Linked DNA regions of Sus scrofa. The protein of the gene in region 2 purifies or fractionates together with the protein of the main gene of each other region. This does not show direct contact. Links are inferred from orthologs where the notes say so. Each region holds a gene or a part of one and is shown on either strand. Other genes may lie near its edges.

Region 1 (3,934 bases), on a different chromosome or scaffold from region 2:
GGCAAAAATAAGTTTAAAAGCGGAAAAGAGTAAAAGGGAAAGCAGTCCTGGAAGAGGAGAACGAAGAAAAGAAAAGGAACAGGGGAGAGGAGCAGACAGCGGGTTAACATTAACTTTTAGACTAGAGGGGCACTGAACAGGCTTCAGACAGCAGCGGCACTAATATCTTAGTAGAGGGCCACCAACATCCCTCAGTGCTAATGGTCAGATGGCAGCACCGATTCTGAGGTCACTCCAAGTCGAAATGTAAAATCACAGAGGAAACAACTGGCTCAGCCTAATGTCCAGGGGTTTAAATATTTCTTCTAAATTAAAAAAATATATATATTTCTTCTGACCTGCTGGCTCGCAACACTGATAGCAGGATAAAAATGAAATGGAAAACAAAAACTTATTTGGGTAAAAATTATATGTTGTTTCACCCAGATGAACTGTACCTTAAAGCAAGACGGTAATTCTAATTCCTGCACCACCTTTACATCATCTTTTTTTTTTTTTTTGCCTTTTCTAGGGCCGCTCCCACGGCATATGGAGGTTCCCAGGCTAGGGGGCGAATCGGAGCTGTAACTGCCAGCCTACGCCTCAGCCACAGCAATGCAGGATCTGAGCTGCGTCTGTGGCCTACGCCACAGCTCACGGCAACGCCGGATCCTTAACCCACTGAGCAAGGCCAGGGATCGAACCCACAACCTCATGGTTCCTAGTCGGATTTGTTAACCACTGCACCACAACGGGAACTCCACCTTCATATCATCTTAAAGTGACTATGAATGATACAGATATGACTACTCATCACTGGCTTATTAGCTTTTTGATATGAAGGCGTATTAGTTGGTGATGGTTGAGGAGAATGATGATGGGGAACCTACTTACCCAGTAAACACTGTTCCATGCTTTATTATTTGCTGTGACTATGAAGTGGACCACTTTCTTCCGTTCTCACACTAGGACTGACCAGTAGGTGTTAGTAGTAGACTTTAGATTCTCTCTTCCTTTTTTTCTTTAAGGCCGCACCCCTGGCACATGGAAGTTCCCAGGCTACAGGTCGGATCAGAGCTGCAGCTGCCGGCCTACACCACAGCCACAGCAATGCCAGACCTGACACATGTGCAACCTACACTTTGGCTCACAGCAATGCTGGATATTTTAAGCCATTTAGCAAGGCCAGGGATTGAACCTGCATTCTCATGGATACTAGTTGGGTTCACTGCTGCTGAGTCACAATGGGAACTCCTAGATTCTCTTTTAACACAAATCATTGCTCAAATTAGATCATCCTGTGGCTAAATGGAAGGCTGTTGGGAAAAATTAGATGAAGTAAGGAGAGACAGTCTCTCTGCGACAGAATCCTCGCCTGAGTGAACCGGCACCAATCAGTTCGCTGCCCTCTGCTAGCTCATTTTCCACTGACTTGAAATTTTTTTCCTCCTACTTTCAGGGTTGTTTGGGATGGTCTATAGGAGAATTATATACTTTGAAAGGCATAAAGCAATGAAAACATGCCCATAATAAAGTGTACTTACCAGTTTGTCCTTTTCTGGCAACTGTTTCCACACCTCAGCCAGTTTTTTACTAAGTTCCCCAAAGTCTGCCATAAAAGAGTAAAAACAAACAAATAAACTCAATAAAGGTTTAACCATAAATACATAAAATGGAAGTCTGATAAGAGCAAAAACTGGGAAAAGGGTTTTGAAGATCAGATTTAAATAGCACAAGATTCTTTCAGAAAACTAAACCAAAGCCCATTAACTTTCCCTGATTCTTTTCTAGAACGAAGGGGCTGTTCTGGTGTCATGAGACAGGCTCAAATTCTCACACGTCTACTCTCTAAGGATGTATTCCTTAAGCATCTTTATGGTGTCTTTTAATTTGATCCCACAAAGCAGCGCTTATCGACTTAGGTTAAAGAAAACAAGTTACATAGAATTTGATAAAAGATGTTAGATTTTTACCAAGTTTCTGAGAGCGTGGAAAGAAAGTGGAATTTCCCTAGAGCAGCTCAGATGTGATCTTCCAGATGCGTAATGCTGTGTTTCCACGTGAACAGCGAGTGCATTCCTGCCTTACGTGGCGTGCCTCACCGCAACGCTGGTGACAGGGCCGGGAGGCTAGTTTCACACACTGGGTGAGTGAGACTCGTAGAGGTTACATGACGGGTCCAAGGTTACATGACGGGTCCAAGGTTCAGACCCATCTGAACAATATGTGAGCTCACTCTTAAACAAGGGCAGTTTAAGGATTCCTGTGGAATCTTGGAAGTAGAACACTGCATATTTATGTGCTGTGCTTTATGGCTGGGGTGAACGAAGACACAAATCTAAAATGACTTGCACAGCTGAGGAAAGAAATGAGTTTGGAGTTCTTTTCAAGCTTGGGAAGAAGTGTGCCTGCTGACCGACTGAATGAACTGCACTGCTTCGGAGACACAAAGGGGAAGTAAAAAAACGAAAGATGAGAAATGTTCTTACCTATGCCTGGATGGTCAGCCACAATGGTCACGCGGTACTCTTTACAGAACACCTGGTAGGCTGACATGTTCTTCTTTTTTGGCTAAGCACCACAGAAAAACACAACAGGACAGGACTTAATTAGAACACAAAGTTGAGTAACCCTGCCTCTGTGGGAACAAAACAGAAAAGGTACCTGCACTTTTTCATCAAGAGATCTAAACTACCAACTGGCTTTCCTAAACAGGATAACTGATTTTTAAGCTGTGTTACTTATGACTTAGAGATAAGTATCAATTTTACTTTTAGAATGTAAAAACCACATGCTAACTTATTCTTGGGTTTTTCAGGCTGTTGGAGGTACTTATTTGCAAAGCCCCTCATTCTTCCCACATACAATCCCATGGTACATATTTCTGTTAGAATTAAACACTAGGAAAATCTTTCTCTCTCTTAGGTTGTCTTTTTCTTTTCTTTTTTTTTTTGCCTTTTTAGGGCCGCACCCAAGGCATATGGAAGTTCCCAGGCTAGTGGTCAAATTGGAACTGTAGATGCTGGCCTACACAACCACAGTAACGTAGGATCTTAGCTGCATCTGTGACCTACACCACAGCTCGAGGCAGTGCCGGATCCTTAACCTACTGATCGAGGCCAGGGACTGGACTTGCATCCTCATGGGTATCAGTTGGGTTCGTTACCACTGAGCCACGATGGGAACTACAGGTTGTCTATTTTTTATCTTCTGTAAAAGAACCACATAAGTTCTCTTTACTTTGGGGCCAGAAAGTCCAGAGCCAAATTTATGTTCATACTGTTCCTCTGGTTTTTATTTCCAGTCTTATAATTTTCCTGATCCTGCTTTGACTGTCACTTGTAGTTTCTCATTACTTTATTATTCACATCCTTGTGGTCCAAGGTGAGAAGTAAATAAATAACTGAAGATGATTCACTGGTAGTTAATATAAGACAAACCTCTTTCACTTCAAGAAACTGCTTGAAGTATGTTATTCTTCACTGTATTCTGACAATTCCAAAAGCAAGGTATGATTTTTGAGAAACAAAAACCAAATATGCCTTTAAAGTCAGGTCAATGAGTGATATATAAACAAAAGATTATATGTTACTGTGCATTCCATTTTACAATTATCCATAGACTGAGGGAAAAAATTAAGTTTTCCTACCTGAAAAGGGGCATCACATGGCACCCGTCCAAACCTCTCATTTTGAGGATGAGAAAAAGGAAATTCAGAAAAATAGTGATTGCCTGGGTGCCACAGTTATGCCAGTTGTACACTAGAATGGCTACAATCCAGGAAGCCTGACTTCCAGGGCTACCGCAGTATAGGCCAAAGGAAAAAAAAATATGTTGCTTCCTTATAGAAAAAGTTACTATTTCAAACCTCATCTGTAAGTATCAAAATAGGATGGTCGGCCCTTCATCTCCTCCTCTGCTTTTCTGGCCCTGCAGTTATTACAGTGACATAACC
Region 2 (4,425 bases):
AGGCCTTGGAAAGCAGCAGGCAGGCTGGAGGGGGTGGTTGATTAGCCGCTGGAGAACGAGAAAGAACTGAATTGAAAAATGGAGAACTGGGAGGGGGGAAAGGGGCGAGGGGAGCTGGAGCTTGGAATGGGAGCCGGGGATGGTACATTTGGAGACCCCTCAGGGTAAGAAGAAGAGCTGGGTTCTTGAGAGATCCTTGAGCTGAATGGAGGGCATTGGGAAAGGGAGCGCTTGGTCCCGAGAGGGGTAGCTGGGCCTTGTTTCTCGCCCCACTTGAGGAAGAAATATGGAGAAGTGCCGATTCCCCTTGACCTCCTCCGCGCTGTCCCATGATAATGACGCCTCCAGAGAGAAGGATAATCTGGGTCCCTCACTCTTCCTGCCCTTGCCCCAGCAAAGTCTTCTTTATGTCACACTCACACCCTATTCCGGGTGACTGGAGCCCAAATCCGGCAACAACCATCCCTAATCCCAGGTCGTTTTGGTAATTCCCAAACCCAGATGTTGTGGCAACATTCAAAGTGGGAGGAGTTTAGGCGGTGACCCGTCAGGTACCTGAGGTTCAACAAGCTACCCTTTTCCTTTTTTCAGATAATGCTCGGAATCTTTTTCAATGTCCACTCTGCTGTGCTCATTGAAGACGTTCCTTTCACGGAGAAAGATTTTGAGTAAGTGGAGAGGCGGCAGCGGAAATGGTCAGAATTATGGGTGGGGAAACTGCAGAAAGTGGGATGCTTGGGGCCAGGAGGCCAGGGAACTGGGTGCGGAGAGTTGCTCTCTTTGGCACACAGGAGCAGTTTTGGGTCAGACCTCAGCGACCATACTAAACCCACCACTTTGGGGCGGCTTCTTTAGTTAGGCATTTTATTTTTCTGGGCCTCCGTCCACCTCTGCAAAGTGGATACTATACTAGAACTCACCCCATAGGGTTATGAAGATTGAAAAAGATAACACACGTAAAATCTTTTAGAACGGTACCTGGCACATAGTGCTCAGTAAATGTTGGCTGCTCTTAATGTTTCTGACATTTCTCTACCTAATCCCACCCCTAGGAATGGCCCCCAGGACATATACAAGCTCTACGAGCAAGTCAGCTACAACTGTTTCATCGCCGCGGGCCTTTACCTTCTCCTCGGAGGCTTCTCTTTCTGCCAAGTTCGGCTCAATAAGCGCAAGGAATATATGGTGCGCTAGAGCACCACTGCGTTTCCCCGCTCCAGCCCCCTCTTCTATTTAAAGACCACCCGGTCAACCCCGCCCCCGCCCCGCCCCGCCCATTCTGGAGCCCTCTGCGGACTGGGTTTCCCTGGCTAGAGATGGAATCCCTTGTTCACCAACCTCGGGAGACTGCCCCCAGTGGAGGGAGGCTAGGGCTGGCCGTCCCCTATCCCTCTGGCCCTCTTGCCATGTCCGGTTCCACAATAAAAGAGAAACTGCTCTCTGAAGCCTCCTGTGTATGCTTGGGCTGGGGGGCGGGCACCGGGGCGGGAGATCTGCCTCCAAATAGGGAGTCCGACCCCTCGACGGAAGTGGAATGCAGCAGAGCCGGAAGTGAGGCGGTGTCTTCCACTTTCCTTCCCTGCGCGCGCGGAGGCGACCTAAGTAACCGTGGCTAGTGAGGCGAAGAGCGGCCGAGCTGGAGCCAATCAGCTGCGGGAAGGGGCGGGACTTCCTGCGCGGAGGCCGGAGCCGTTCGGTCTCCCCGCTCTCCGTGGTCCCGGCTCTGGGCTAGCGGCGGCGGCTGCGTCTCCGTGAGGAGGCGCGCGGGGCCATGACGTCAGCGTCCACAAAGGTTCGACCTCCCTCGCGGACAGCGCTCCCTGGCGGCCACGGGAGGGCGGGCTCTCAGTTGGCTCCCGGCTCTTCCGTCCGGGGCGGGGGCGGGGGGCGGGGGTGGGGTGGCGGGCGGGAGTCCAGCCTGGGGTGGGGTTAGGGGCTCCGGGCGGGACGGCGCGGGGGTGTGCGCCGGCCCCCCGTAATGCTGCCCCGCCCCCAGGTCGGAGAGATCTTCTCCGCGGCGGGCGCCGCCTTCACGAAGCTCGGGGAGCTGACCATGCAGCTGCATCCCGTGGCCGACTCATCCCCGGCGGGGTACGTGAGCCCAGGCTGGGACGTGGACGCTGAGAGCGGACGCTGGGACTCGGTCACAGACACGGACACTCTCTAGGGCCGGGACAGATGTTAGTTTCCCTTTGTGCCTGGCACAGCGCAGAATAGGTGTTAATAAATGATTGTTGCATGAATGAATGAATGAATGAAACACAGACTGAGGCTCACGATCCGGACTCATTTCACAGCTCTACCCTGCTGCGAACTAGCAGACTGTAGATCACCACCACTCCCCACCTACCCCAATCATGTGGCATTCTGTCAAACTGCTGCAGACTGTGTTTAGGGGTTCTGTTTGTAAGATTCCTACTTTTGAATGCTGTTTACAGCAGCAGTGTCACGTTGGGGGGGGAGGGTTTCTTCTAAGGTGGCGCTTGTTGCAATATTGTGTGCTTGGGGGGTCCTCAGGGTTCCCACGGGACCTTTTTTTTTTTTTTTTTTTTAAAGGAGGATGTCTTTGTGGACCCGTGGGAGGGGCCCCAGGCATTGAGGGGAGGAGGCTGGTTGCTGTGGAATGCATGGCCGGTGGGCTGGCTCCACACCCCTCCTCCTCCTCCCACTTTGGCAATTCCCCTCTCCCCTTCTGACAGTGCCAAGTGGACGGAGACGGAGATAGAGATGCTGAGGGCTGCTGTGAAGCGATTTGGGGACGATCTTAATCACATCAGCTGTGTCATCAAGGAACGGACAGTGTGAGGGAGGGTTGGCTGGCAGAGAGAGGGTGGGTGGGCAGCTTTCTTCCTCCATGCCCGTTGCTCCGTCTTCCTCAGAACGCCCAGCTCAACATCTTTCCTACTCGGTTGCTAGTTTTGTTAGCATTCCCTCGAGGACTGAAAGAGTAAAAGAATTGTTACAATTGATCAGAAGTTAACTAAAATGCTCTGGCAGTCAGGCCCTTACAAGAATTGGATTTTAGGTTGCCTGAGCAATCGAATCTGGTGATAGGAGTTCCCTGGTTATTTGTACAGATCTTTCGAGACGCTCCTGCGGTGTTTCCAGCGGTATTAGGATTCTGAACTAGCAGATCAGGATAAGTCTCAGGCTACCTGTCGATCACCCAGGCTCACCTGGTAGCTTCCACACATCCAGTCATCCCTCCCAGAAGAGAATTAGGAGCTGGGCCTGTCCCACGACTCAGCCGAGGGACTCCGCTCTTCACGCTCCATTGGCCCTAAGTGGCTGCACAGCTTCAGAAAGATCAGAGCCTGCCCAAAGCGCTGGGACCCTGGCCTGCATTCTTAGGACGGGGCGCCCCCGTGTCCCTTCAGAGTGGCCCACTGCCCCTGCCCTCCCCTCCCTTCTTCCCTCAGCCTGTCTGACGACCCCCCTTCCCAACTTGCTCTCTCTCCTCTTCAGGGCTCAGATAAAGGCCACGGTGAAGCGCAAGGTATACGAAGACTCCGGCATCCCCCTTCCGGCTGATTCGCCCAAGAAAGGGCCCAAGAAGGTGGCATCTGGCGTCTTGTCGCCTCCTCCGGCTGCCCCTCCACCAAGCAGCTCCAGTGCCCCCGAGGCCGGGGGTCCCCCCCTAAAGAAACAGAAGGCTGGTGAGGGCTGTGGAGCTGCTGCCTAGGGATTAAAGGGCCCACAGGAGGTTCAGTGAGAGAACTGGGCTTGGGTCAAAGGGCACGTCTCTCTTCTTCTCCCAGTGAAGGCTCCCAGAGAGGGGCTGGAGCAGGGGAGGGACGGAGGGCGGGCTTGGAACTTTGGGAAGTGGAGGTGGGGGGGACGTCAGGGGACCCAGAACCTAGCTTGTGCCCCCCTCCCAGATGTGACACTCAGTGCTCTGAACGACTCCGACGCCAACAGTGACCTGGTGGACATTGAAGGGCTGGGAGAGACTCCTCCGGCCAAGAAACTCAACTTCGACCAGGGTAGGAGTCTGCCTCCTCCCACAGCAGCTGAAGGGGCGCCCCCGCCCCCACACCCCCGCGCCCCCCTGTGCTGATGCCGATGGTGGGGGGCGGACCTCGGCAGGAGCCCCCTCCCACCTACCTGGGCTTTGGGAGAGAAGGTGCCCTCCTGTGCACGCAGGGTCTGTCAGGTGCCCGCTGCTCCGGGAGGTCGGGGTCATCTCGGAGGCCACCTTGGGGCTCGCTCCATCTCGGCCCGTTTCACTTCCTGTTCCAGACAGCCTGACCCTGGATTCTGGCCTTCTTCTGACCTCTGCTGATCCTCCTCTGCTCTCTTGCTGAGCCTGCCACCTCTGACCCCTGTCACTGTTCACCCTGGACCTGTGGACCGCCTGGGACTCTGAGCAAGGCCTGCCTGAGAGAGGGCAGAAAGGCCGCCGGGGCGGCCCAGCTTGCTGTTCCT
Region 3 (3,934 bases), on a different chromosome or scaffold from region 2:
AATTGCAATCATAAGTGATGTGTGAATGGTTATTGAAGTTTGACAATAAGAAGGTTTTTGTGCTTTACTTTTCTAAGTAGAAAAGGCTGATTTGGGAGTATTAGTGATAATACTGACCAGTTTTCTGCATATCAGAAACTTCTTGTATTTATAATGCTTTCATCTGTTGATACTTAAAAAAATTGATAATAACTTTGGTTTTCAAATATCCCAAATATCTCTTATTCTCCCCACACAAAAGGGTATATTTTATTGAGATACAGTATTCAATAGGCCTTATTATATAATATGTATGCTTTAGAAATATTTCAAAACTTATGACTTAGAATTTGGCATTTTGGAGTTGGTGCAATAGGATCAGCAGTGTTTTTGGAGCTCTGGGACAGAGGTTTGATCCCTGGCCGGCAGAGGGGTTAACGATCCAGCATTGCTGTCACTGTGGCATCACAACTGTGGCTTGGATATGATTCCTTGCTCGGGAACTTCCATATTCCATGGGGCAGCCAAAAAAAAGAATCTGGCATTTTATATAAAAGTGAAAATTATCAGATGTGAATAAACAAATGATTGATGTTTGGGAGTAAATTGCATGGTATTATAGCTGACATTTAAAAAATTCAATAAAAAATTCAAGTTTCCACTAAACTAAGATTTGTTTGATTAACATTAGACAACAAAATTTTTTTTCAGGAAGACTTGTGGATCAGAATCTTAACAAAATCGGGAAAGATGAAATGCTTCAAATGATAAGGCATGGGGCAACACATGTATTTGCTTCAAAGGAAAGTGAGATTACTGATGAGGATATTGATGGTATTTTGGAAAGAGGTGCCAAGAAGGTGAGATGCAGATTACATTATGTTTTTAATACATAACATATATCAAACCAGACCTGTTTGAGGAAACTGTTACATGGGTCATAGATAATGTTATTTCCACGGAAGTTTTTATATACTGTAAAGCCTAATCATTTGGACTACAGTTCTTATGCTTTTTAAATTCTCAATCTAATATGACATTTCTTTTGTTTGCTAGACTGCAGAGATGAATGAAAAGCTCTCCAAGATGGGTGAAAGCTCACTTAGAAACTTTACAATGGATACAGAGTCAAGTGTTTATAACTTTGAAGGAGAAGATTATAGAGAAAAACAAAAGGTAATTTAGGACGAGGTTATGGTTACTTGAAAGTTGGAATTTAAAGTGTTAAGTATGATGCTTGTCATGAACAGCAGTCATTTCTGTTTACTCATGTCTAAATTATTTTCATTTTTGTGTTAAATTTAATGCCAGGTTTTCATGTGGTAAACTCTTGAATGCTTTAAAGTTTATGTATTCTGTTAAAGTGAAATATATTGTGTGGGGTGGTTATAATATTTAAACATTAAACATTCAAACATTAAAACTATTGCCAAAAAATTTTTTTGCAACTTTACTAGATTTTCTTTTTTAAAAAAAACCAGCAGAATTGGCTGATAATAATTAAAGGGAAGAACTTCCTAATTTCATAAGTAATACTTGCTATTATAAAGGAAAATTAGAAAAAAAATTCTGATGCTTTCTCTTTTAACATTTTGATGTATTTATTCTTTAGGGTTTTTTTCTAGGCTAAATATATATCTACGTTTCGTTCCTAATTTGGGTTGTAGCATACCTTTTATAATATTTTTTTTTCATTCCGTTGTCATTAATTTGGTCAAATATTTAGAGAATGTCTTGCTTATTCACTAGACAGCATCTTATGTGTTAATAACATAGTCTCTAGCCTCATAGAGCACATAGGATTTCATGAGTATCTTCGCAGTTGTAAATAACAGTTGTTGTATTGCACACAGGAGTTGCATTCATGTAAGATTTGCGACTGTATAATAAAGTTGGTGATTTGAATTGTTTCCCATGTGCCAGATTGCATTCACAGAGTGGATTGAACCACCTAAACGAGAAAGAAAAGCCAACTATGCTGTTGATGCCTATTTCAGGGAAGCTCTTCGCGTCAGTGAACCTAAAGCACCCAAAGTGAGTTGACAGAGCACACTTATCTAAAAATATTGGAAATATAAATTATTTTTCTTCCTATATTCTTGTGATAAAATCAGACTAAGAATTAGATTTTGTGTGATTTCTTACAATACTTCCTTCAACTTTTGTTAAGTTTTCCAAAAATTAATTTTGAATGTGTGCATTTAAAATTTGATTAATGTTTGTTCAATTTTAGTGGAAAATTTATTCAATTGCTTGCAGAATTGACTGTCATGGTTGATAGAATGAAGGAAAGATGATAGATAGATTTAAAGCAAAGTAGTTTGGTTTTTACGGACAATATAATTTTTTTTTCCCTTTAGGCTCCTCGACCTCCAAAACAACCCAATGTTCAGGATTTCCAGTTCTTTCCTCCACGTCTATTTGAATTATTAGAAAAAGAAATTCTATATTACAGAAAAACAATTGGGTACAAGGTAATAAAAGTAGCACTTTGTTCATAACTAAATCTAGTTTGTTTTTAACTGAAATAAATGTAGGATATCAGTTTGTTTTCTTTCATGGTTTCATTAAAACTCATGAAATGTCATGTAGCTGGTTGATAGTTTGGTTCATCACATGCTTCCTAAAATATATTGATTGATAGATAACACAGAGAAATACTTGTTCTTTAGGTGCCTCGAAATCCTGACCTACCAAATGCAGCACAGGCGCAAAAAGAAGAACAGCTCAAAATTGATGAGGCTGAACCCCTTAACGATGAAGAGTTAGAGGAAAAAGAGAAACTTCTAACACAGGTATAGCCTCTAGTCAACACAAAATTTAGTGACTTTTTTTGTAAGGTACTGTGTTAGGTTGTTTTGGGATATACAAGGAAGTATGAGTTTTTACTTTCAAAAATGGAATACTTGGAGATGATAAAGCATGGGTATATGTTCCATTGTCATTAGTTGTTGAGATAGTTGAGATTATACATTTGCACCATCCTTGGCAGAATGGGTATCCTTTTGATCACTTTTCTCCCAGCATTCCCATCTTCCCTTTTCTGGGAATCTTTTTTTTTTTTTTTTTTTTTGGCCACCCCCATGGCATGTGGAAGTTTCCAGGCCAGGGATTGAACCCAAGCCATAGCAGTGACAATGCCAGATCCTTAACTTGCTACACCACAAGGGAACTCCTTTCCCGTGAAGCTTATACATTACTAGTAACTTATTCTCAATTATAAGTCTTTTCTTGGTACTTATTTTAACATCCTTGAGAGTTCAATCAAGGCTTTTTAGAATCTGGCCTTAACCTACCCATAAAGTCTTACTTTCTTTCTGTTTTCCCACTTGGATTATATCTTTGCCCTTTAATCTATGTTCACTCCTCCTGGCAAATTTCTTTTCCTTCAGAGCTCAATGAAAATGTTACCTTTTCATGTAGATTCTTTTCTCTTCCACTCAGATTTAATTGCTTGGCTATATAAGCAATATATGATGTATTGCTAAAAGTGTACATTTGTGTATATGAAAAGTCAACACTGTAAAAGAACTTTAAAAAACTGGGAGTAATTGAAAATTCTCTGTAATACTTATTAGCAGTATTGCTAAAGTTGAATAGGTTTTATTCCCAAGTTCAGTGTGCTGTGATTATATGTTTTGTTTCTATTGCTTTGAAGGGATTTACCAATTGGAATAAGAGAGATTTTAACCAGTTTATTAAAGCTAATGAGAAGTGGGGTCGCGATGATATTGAAAATATAGCAAGAGAAGTAGAAGGAAAAACTCCAGAAGAAGTCATTGAATATTCAGGTAATTCCCTATTATTTTAATAGGTATAAGAATGTTCTCAGGCTTTTGGAGAACTGTTGGAAAATTCAGATTTTGTTATTCTGAATAGGTTTTGATAAGCTAAATTTTGCTTAGCTAATTTAGTGCCTTGTTTAATTTTGTGTTATTTAAAAATGGAGTTGGAA
Region 4 (4,515 bases), on a different chromosome or scaffold from region 2:
TTTCCCTCTCCTGGCTAGATGGCTTGTATTTTTACCATTGTTTTATTTTATTTTATTTTATTTTTTGTCTTTTAGGGCTGCACCAGCTGCATGTGGAGGTTCCCAGGCTAGAGGTCAAATCAGAGCTGTAGCCGCCAGCCTAAGCCACAGCCACAGCCACAGCAACGTGGGATCTGAGCCACGTCTGCGACCTACACCACAGCTCACTGAGTGAGGCCACGGACCGAACCAGCGTCCTCATGGATACTAGTGGGGTTCGTTAACCACTGAGCCACGACGGGAACTCCGTATTTTTACCATTGTTTTAAATGAAAGGTTTTGTTTCACTTATGTCCTTTATCATAAGCCAATTCTTTCTAATGAAAGTAGATGAAGTGTTTAAAAAGTGATAGTTAACAGCCTGACAATTGAGGGAGGAGACTGAACATTTTTGAAAAAAAATCAACGCAATATTGGAAGTGTCTGGAAGGTGTTTATTGGAGGGGAAACAACCTCCTAAATCTCAAATGCCTTTGTATGGGTGTCAGAGTACAATAACTGGGAGACACGAGGAAAAGGTTAATCTGTACATTTAGGACACCATTTAAGGAATCAAGGTAGTGTGCAGATATTTAGATCTGGAGTGGGGGGATGCACTGGGGGTTTGGGATGGAAATGCTATAAATTTGGTTGTAATGGTCATTGTACAACTATAAATGTAATTGAAGAATAAAAAATGCTATTAAAAATGATATTCATATTGGGGGAGAGACAAAATTACCTTATTTGAAGGAATAGAACAAATAAAAGCACTTAGGTAGATGTTGTGGTTCAATTCAGATTTTTAAGGAAAAATTCAAAATAAAAAAGACGTAGTGACTAAAGTAATAAGATTCAGATATCCAGAAAGTTCCTGCCAGGTGGCACCTCATTTCTCTATGCCGAGCCAACAAATGAGGTGCTACTAGTGCAATTTCTGATAAGGCCACAGAGTTCACGAATATATATGCATCAACTCAGTGATTATACACGTTTTTTATTGATTACCAGTCTCTTCACAATTCCAAAAATTCATATACCCTGGAAATTCGACAACATTTACTGCCATACAAAAGACGGCCAAGCACTTACATTCGCCCAGTCTAGGGAAGAAAAGGTATCCAGACACATTCCTGAATTTCCCAACATTGATTTATATCATCGATGCTTGGTATTTGGCCCAGCTTTAATCATCGATATTGTCTTACTGATCCAAGTACCACACAGATCTTAAAATGCGTATGTTTTCTATGGTTTTCACTTAGCGCTACAATTGTCTTTCTGTTTAGTCAACCTTGTAACAGTAAAATACGTCACTTTTAAGCAACTGCTGAATTTAAAATTACTCTAATTCACGGCCAAAGGTGTTAATTTCCCTCAAAAGCTTTTCATTTGGTCGTAGAGCATCATATAATGATTCAAACAAAGCCACTTGAGATCGCTAAAGCATAATTTTAATTACCTACCGTTTTTTTAATTGCGATATGTCTACTCGTAAACGGAAAAAAAATCCAGCCATAAACGATCCATTCCACAATTTTACTATACATCAAAATCCTTATGCCTCAACCTAATTTTTTATTCCAATATTTCAATAGCCTTTCATAGTTCTACTTGCACGTCTCAGTCCGTATGAAATACGCCTTATGGAGATAATACGTATTTTTTTGGATCTGGCTTTAATAGGTGTCACAGCGGTCCCCTTATGTACATTAGCAGCAATTCATCCTGGCGACGCTGGGTTTAAAAAAACAAAATTAAAAAAAAAAAAAAAACCTGCGTGTGTCCAGGAGCCAGCAGCGCCCACTAGGAAAAGGAGGCGGAAGCCTGGAAGGCTTGGGGCCGGATTGGGGGACCATTTGGGTGGCCCTGGAGTGAAACACTATACCGTCGGGGGCGGGGCAGGAGAGGGTGAGGGTGCACACGTTGGAAATTTTCCTAAGCCAGCGTCCAGGGTTCCTCAGTTTGGGATCTGGATTGGGGGGGGGCGGTGGTACGACGCTGAGAGCTCGTTTTCTCGGGGTGACACCCCCGCTTCAGCAGGCGGGGACCAAACGAACAAGGGATTTTTTTTCTCCCTGCCACCCCAAAGGCCGACATTGCCAATCAAAGAAACAAACGTCTCTCCTATCGTCCTCCTCCTCCCAACCACCGGCACCTGGAAATTCAAATTTTAAAAAATAAACCCCCAGTAAACCCCTTTTGCCTGAGTGTGGGATTGAAGGGCCCAGATTTCCCAGGCAGAGGCCGACGGGAAGGGGGGGGGAGAGGGAGCGAGCGAGAGGAGAGGGGGAGGCGGAGGCTTTTTCCTCCACGGCCCCATCCCCCACCTCGTTACCCCAGTTCCGGGAACGCCAAAGGGGCCGGGGGCTGTCGAGGGCTCCCCAGCCCCCAAGCCCCGAGATAACGGGCACCCGCCGCCCCGCGCCGCGCCCGCGCCCCAGCCCCGCCCCCGCCCTCCAGGCGGCGAGAAGCGAAGGGGGAGGGGAGCGAATGCTAGACTGTTCTGCCGCCCCCACCCCGCGCGCCCGCCGCCCCCAACCCTGCGGAGCTCCGCGGGTACCTGTCGGCGCCCAAAGGTCAGCGTTTGGGCCCCTCCGAGGGGCCCGGCGCAGGATTTGTCCACCGCACACACACCCCCTTCCTATTTACCTCCTTCTTCTTCTCGCCCTTCTCCGTGGCCACGGTGGCTTCGGTGGACGCGGTGGCCGCGGCGGCGGCTCCCTCCTCCTTGGAGATGGACGGCCCCGGCTGCTCGTCCTCTATGACCACGATCGTGGCGGTCGCATCAGAGGCTGCCACGGTGGCTGCCACTGCGGCGGTGTCCGGCTCCATGGCGTTGGAGCGGGAACGAAGAGGGGAACGAGCGAGGGGACGAGGGCTCCTGGGCGGCGGCAGTGGCTGCACTGGAAAGAGCTAGATGGAGCAGGGGTGGGGAATCACTCGCTTCCAACCCCTTCGCTCGGCCCCCCCTTCTTTAAATAACCCTCAACCCTGCCCCACTTCCGTCCACCCACCCTACGTCATGGCCTCCCCCCGTCACCCTCCCCCCTTCCTCCACCCCCCCTCAACGATCGCGAGACTCCCCCTCCCCACCCGGAGCCCAGGCCGTCCCCGCACGACCAACTGTTGCCTGAGCGTGGGGCGCGGACTGGGGTGGAGGCGGGAACCCACAGCCCGCGGCCCCCTAAAAAATCTCCTTCCCCACACGCCCCCAACAGTCAGCCCGAGCTCCCCTCGCAGATGTGTGCAGAAGGAATCCTCTTCCCCTTAAATCTGCTCTTTGTACCTCGGGGCGCTCTCCCCTTCTTGCACAAAGAACTTTTCCTCTGCTTATAACTGTACTGTAGAAGGTCTGTCTCACCATTTGCAAAGCCCAGATCCCCTCTGGGGACTGTCCTTTCCCAGATCCCCAAAGGGGGACTGGTGGTGCCCTTCCCACCTTTGTAAATTCTGCAGGAGAAGCATTCCTTGAATCTCTTGATTGCAGCTGCAAACATTCACTTACAAGGCAAAGTGTGACTCGGTTTTTACGTATATTCGCTCTATTTTCGGTTCTGAAACCTCTTGGATGGCCAATGTGCAGGAGCCCATCTTTTGCCTTCACCAATGAATTTTAAAAACTTCTGGGGGGCAAGGTCAATGTCCCCACAGAACCTGGGGCAACGCATGGTAGGTGCCCAACATCAGCAGTTGAACTGAATTATTGTGATTGTTTTGGTATTCTATTCCTACCCCGTTGTTTAGTAGTAATTCAACACCAGTAATATGCATAATCGTGGATATAAGAGCATTTCGTAAAGGGTATGCAAACGTCAGTTATTAAATATTATTGTTTCCATTTCTCCCCACCATTTATTTTGATCAATAACAGGAAGATTTACATCTCAGCCTTAAAATTTCAGTCATTGGGGACGAAAGGTAGCAAAACATACAGAAAACCAGTATACCGAACACCAATCACAAAACCTACAATTCTGAAAATGAAGCATCTATTTTCCAAAGTATGAAGAAAGCATGATTAATTTCCCTCAACACACCTTCCTAAGTTACCAATCTGAAATCAAGTGTGATTTCTGCAAATAGCAGGAAGGCACACATTTGTCCTCCAGATACATCCCTTTTTCCTGGGATACCCTAAATTTCTTTTTTGTTTTAAAGCTGTAATTCCTTAATATGCAAAAACCTTGTGACATTTTAGCTGTTATTGGCCATTTACACCTTAGTGTGAATGAGTGTGAGATCCTGTTCAGGGACTGGTTTTGAACAGGGAAAGATGCAAAGAGCAAGACACAGGTGATTGAAGGATTGTGCCACTGAGAGGAAAGGAGAGGCTGGTGTGGTGCTTAGCTTTGCCCTGATTTTACATCCATTATGTTCTCATTCACTTTAGATTTTGCCCCCGGTGTCCACGTTTCTCACCCTAGAGTACACATATGTACTCTCCAGCGGGTATGTGGAGTCTCAGTATTAAAAATAGTTCATATTTCTGAAGCA
Region 5 (3,805 bases), on a different chromosome or scaffold from region 2:
ACAGTGGATCCTTAACCCACTGAGCAAGGCCAGGAATTGAACCCGCATCCTCATGGATACCAGTCGGGTTCATTAACCACTGAGCCACGATGGGAACTCCCAGAGTCCCACTTTCAAAAAAAGGAAAATCCTAGATGTCCTCAGAGACCATGAAATTGTTACAGAGGCATAACACACTACCGTCTCCCTGCAGCATCAAAAAATAGCTGCAAACCTTAACATTATGCTAAATGCAAGAACGAGTCACAAAGACCACATATGATTCCTTTCATATGAAATGTCTAGAACAGGTACATCTAGAGACAGAAAGTAGATCAGAGGTGGCCAGGGGCTGGTGAAAGGAGAAGCCTGGGGGCCAAGAGGTAAAGGGCACACTTTCTTTACAAGGGGACAAAAATGTTCTAAAACAGACTTGTGATGGCTGTCCAACTCTATGAACTACTAAAAACCACGGCAGTGTTTACTCTAAAAACAGTTCGTTGTATGTCCTGCCAAATATTCATCAATAAAGGTATTACTAAAGTAAAAAAAAACTGCAGCACTATGTTAACACGAAATACGCTGGTGTGTCTTTGCCACAATCCAGTGCTGCAGGGCATGGGAACAGCGGACAGGAGCAGAGGCTCCCCGATGGGCACAGTGCGCCGGCTTTAGCAAGCCTCTTCTGCGAGCAGGGCTCACCCTCGACAGCCTTCTTTACAAGTGGTGGGCAAAGCCCAAGTGTACAAAGCGAATTCGTACTGGTCTAAGAGCTAAGTACGCGGAACAGAGGAACAAGCGATTCTGCCAAACGACTGGCAACGCTTCCCAGAAAAGGGACTTCAAGTGTACAACGAAGGACTGAGACAGAAGGACAGGACAGGACAGATACCACCTCGTAAACCTTCAAAGGGCTGAGGAGATGCCAAAATAATTTAATTAGGAACAGGTGAAAGATCGGGGAAGCATTCATTTTTCTGAGCAAGGAACTTACAAGTCAGGTCATACCGTTTTTTCACACTGTGAGAAAGTGTTAAGTCCTGCTAACAGCATCAAAGCCCCGCCCCACTAAACCCTCAGAAACATTATTACTGAGAACCAGGGAGAAATTACTATACACTATTTGCCAGGAGCCTAAATTCTTCTCACTGAAATATTGGTAAAAATCCACTGGGCTCTATTTACTATTTTTAATAAACGCCAAAACCCTATCACGATAACCTCTAGCGCTTCCAATTTGAAATCATCTTTAAGAGGTGAAATTTGAGGTTTTTGACTCATTTTCCAGAGATGCGAAACAATGATAAACAGGCCAATGTCCACATGACATTTCATCTTGTATGAGGAAAGCCAGTACACACCAGGAGTTCTGGAGGCCCATCTTCTGCGTCTTCTGCCGACTGTTCTTCTCCAATTTTGCTATTAAGAAAGAACATGCCTTCGTTACTGAAGTTCTTATAGCAGGAGTATTTGCAAAGCCAGCATCAGCCCAGACATCACATCTTATTCTTTCTTTATTTTTGCTTTTTAGGGCCGCACCCACAGCATGTGGAGGTTCCCAGACTGGGAGTTGAACTGGAGCTGTAGCCACTGGCCTGCAACACGGGATCTGAGCCACTTCTGCGACCTCCACCACAGCTCATAGCAACACCGGATCCTTAACCCACTGAGCGAGGCCAGGGATCGAACCTACATCCTCATGGATATGAGGTGGGTTCATTAGCACTGAGCCGCAATGGGAACTCCTTGTTTTAGGTTTCTAATTTTACTACTAAAATTGTTTTCAAATGAAAAAGAATATACTGAAATGCTTGTTTTAAAGATTCTCTACATTTCCCAGCATCTATCATGGCCATAAGAACATGGAACATTGGCTGTTTAGAATTTTTACATACAAACATTTTCTCCTCAGTGTCTCTGTTCCGTACACTGAAGAGGGGGCCTCCTGTCTCGATAATGAAGGCAATCTGGACTAAAAACTTAGTCCATGTCAAAGCAAAGTCAAAGCAACACAGGTAGGAATGAAGTTACTTTCGGCATTTTCATGATGTGAACTTGAGATAAGAACATCTTGGGGGAATGTACGGAACTGTGCAACATCATCTATGGCTCTAAAGGCTAAAAAAACCCCAAAGGCGTCTGAAATTCTTAGAATAGCAACTCTGTAGTCAGGGAATTGAGAGTTGGGACCACGGTGAGTCCCCAAAAGAACATGACCTCTCTGGCAGCATGGGCTGTGCTGGCGTCCCAGTTCATCCTCAGCACTTACACAACCCACAGCCCGGGTTCATCCCTGAGAAAACAGTCAACGAAAGCACAGAACAGCAAACGGGAGAAAAACGGAGACCAGTGCTGCAGGTGGACGTGAGATCCAATGAAACAGGAGGCGCCGACGCCTTTACGCTTTCTTTCCACAGCAAGCGGGTTGTGAAACCCAACATACGGATGTCACACCCCCCGCCACCCCGTACCCCAACGTCAGGCCTGAGTAGGCACAGAGACACAAAACTCACGTTGGCATACATTTATTTTACAGACCAATGCTGATTCGCTTCTATTTTATGGAACAAAGACTCTTCAGGAAGGCACTTAAAATTACTTTTAGACTTATTAATGGGGTTAGCAAATTGCTCTGCTAGTTTATGAATTATTACATAACCTGCCAGATTAGCATATTTATGCAATTTCTTGTCACGAGATTCTGAGTTACCTTAAATCCCACACGTTCAGACGGCGATCAGTACCACTTGAAGCCAGAATAGTTTCATTATGTGGAGACCAGTGGACCTGCAAGTTTACATTTGCAAATGTAAAGACTCATCCATTCCAAAGTTGGTGGATTTTGTTCTAATCCTGGGTATGTTCCCATTTCGTGCACGGTAGCCTCGCCTTGGCCTACAGGCCCTCACCCTCCTTGTCCTATCCTTTCAGGCACTCAAAGTGGCCCATCTCTCCAAAACACAGGGAAACTCAGCTAAGGGTCCAACACACTTATTCGGCCCCAAAACCACCCCAGAAGCTTCAAAATCTTTCAATGAAGTGAAAATCTCAATTTTCAACCATATACAAGGTATTTTTTCACTAGAGAACCCACTATGCTGACATACCTTCAAGGAAGAATTCTTGGATTTCATTTTTTCAATGGATCCTGTTTTGCAAGATTTTTCTTCTACCTCTGAACTAATAGTTTCTAAAAAACCTCCACATTATTTCCCATTTATATAGTGGAAGAGGAGCTTAAAAAATAAAACACCGTGTTCTATGCTGACCGTATAAAAGGAGAAATCTTTTTTAATTTCCCTCTACCAAAAAGTTATGAAAATCTGACACAAACACCAGAAAACTGTCACTTACCTGGAAAATTTCATCTTTATGAGATTCGAAGGTATGGAGTTTCAATTTTAAATTACGCAGGTCCCATAAAGCTACAGTCTGAAGAACAATAAAAAGGAATTCGTTTCTTCACGTTACGTAAGAAAGTTCAGGTGTTACAGGACAAGACAAGGGCGTTCATAAAATACCAAGTATGCAAAAATTGAGAAACCTTATCCGCAGAGCCAGTGGCGAGAATGAACTCGCTGTAGGGATTGAACGACAGGCAATTGACCTCGGCGGTGTGTGCATCCACCAGGTGGCTCGGCTTGGAGGTGGTATTGGACCTGGTGTCCCATCTACAACACAGGGGTACAAGGCACACAGGACACAAGCAGGCCACTCCACCCCGCCCCGCCTCTCTCCCGCGCCCCCGTCAGCAGCGTCTACACCACTGCTCTCCGCACACTCGCCTCTTCAGAGACCCCAAGCACGCAGAGTCCAACCCAAGGGG

Evidence for each region.
Region 1: the proteins of C12H17orf49 (region 2) and HMGXB4 purify together in Homo sapiens (affinity purification with mass spectrometry; 4 studies listed by BioGRID and IntAct, with this or other methods). This does not show direct contact. The link is inferred for Sus scrofa from reciprocal best matches to the Homo sapiens genes BACC1 and HMGXB4.
Region 3: the proteins of C12H17orf49 (region 2) and SMARCA5 purify together in Homo sapiens (affinity purification with mass spectrometry; 5 studies listed by BioGRID and IntAct, with this or other methods). This does not show direct contact. The link is inferred for Sus scrofa from reciprocal best matches to the Homo sapiens genes BACC1 and SMARCA5.
Region 4: the proteins of C12H17orf49 (region 2) and SMARCA1 purify together in Homo sapiens (affinity purification with mass spectrometry; 4 studies listed by BioGRID and IntAct, with this or other methods). This does not show direct contact. The link is inferred for Sus scrofa from reciprocal best matches to the Homo sapiens genes BACC1 and SMARCA1.
Region 5: the proteins of C12H17orf49 (region 2) and RBBP7 purify together in Homo sapiens (affinity purification with mass spectrometry; 3 studies listed by BioGRID). This does not show direct contact. The link is inferred for Sus scrofa from reciprocal best matches to the Homo sapiens genes BACC1 and RBBP7.

The regions. Positions count from the first base shown.
Region 1 is NW_018084968.1:1,835,517-1,839,450, reverse strand, and holds part of HMGXB4 (HMG domain-containing protein 4), read right to left. Parts: intron 2,551-3,934; coding exon 2,469-2,550; intron 1,589-2,468; coding exon 1,524-1,588; intron 1-1,523. UniProt on the Homo sapiens protein: Negatively regulates Wnt/beta-catenin signaling during development.
Region 2 is NC_010454.4:52,417,432-52,421,856, forward strand, and holds the start of C12H17orf49 (chromatin complexes subunit BAP18), read left to right. Parts: upstream 1-1,557; 5' UTR 1,558-1,771; coding exon 1,772-1,792; intron 1,793-1,996; coding exon 1,997-2,091; intron 2,092-2,699; coding exon 2,700-2,801; exon of another isoform or gene 2,802-3,465; coding exon 3,466-3,656; intron 3,657-3,878; coding exon 3,879-3,983; intron 3,984-4,104; exon of another isoform or gene 4,105-4,239; coding exon 4,240-4,304; 3' UTR 4,305-4,425. UniProt on the Homo sapiens protein: Component of chromatin complexes such as the MLL1/MLL and NURF complexes.
Region 3 is NC_010450.4:84,190,067-84,194,000, reverse strand, and holds part of SMARCA5 (SWI/SNF-related matrix-associated actin-dependent regulator of chromatin subfamily A member 5), read left to right. Parts: intron 1-690; coding exon 691-839; intron 840-1,035; coding exon 1,036-1,155; intron 1,156-1,902; coding exon 1,903-2,013; intron 2,014-2,339; coding exon 2,340-2,453; intron 2,454-2,651; coding exon 2,652-2,774; intron 2,775-3,637; coding exon 3,638-3,770; intron 3,771-3,934. UniProt on the Homo sapiens protein: ATPase that possesses intrinsic ATP-dependent nucleosome-remodeling activity.
Region 4 is NC_010461.5:106,112,868-106,117,382, forward strand, and holds the start of SMARCA1 (probable global transcription activator SNF2L1), read right to left. Parts: upstream 3,060-4,515; 5' UTR 2,854-3,059; coding exon 2,671-2,853; intron 1-2,670.
Region 5 is NC_010461.5:13,295,884-13,299,688, forward strand, and holds part of RBBP7 (histone-binding protein RBBP7), read right to left. Parts: exon of another isoform or gene 3,651-3,805; coding exon 3,524-3,650; intron 3,412-3,523; coding exon 3,334-3,411; intron 2,767-3,333; coding exon 2,690-2,766; intron 1,399-2,689; coding exon 1,341-1,398; intron 1-1,340. UniProt on the Homo sapiens protein: Core histone-binding subunit that may target chromatin remodeling factors, histone acetyltransferases and histone deacetylases to their histone substrates in a manner that is regulated by nucleosomal DNA.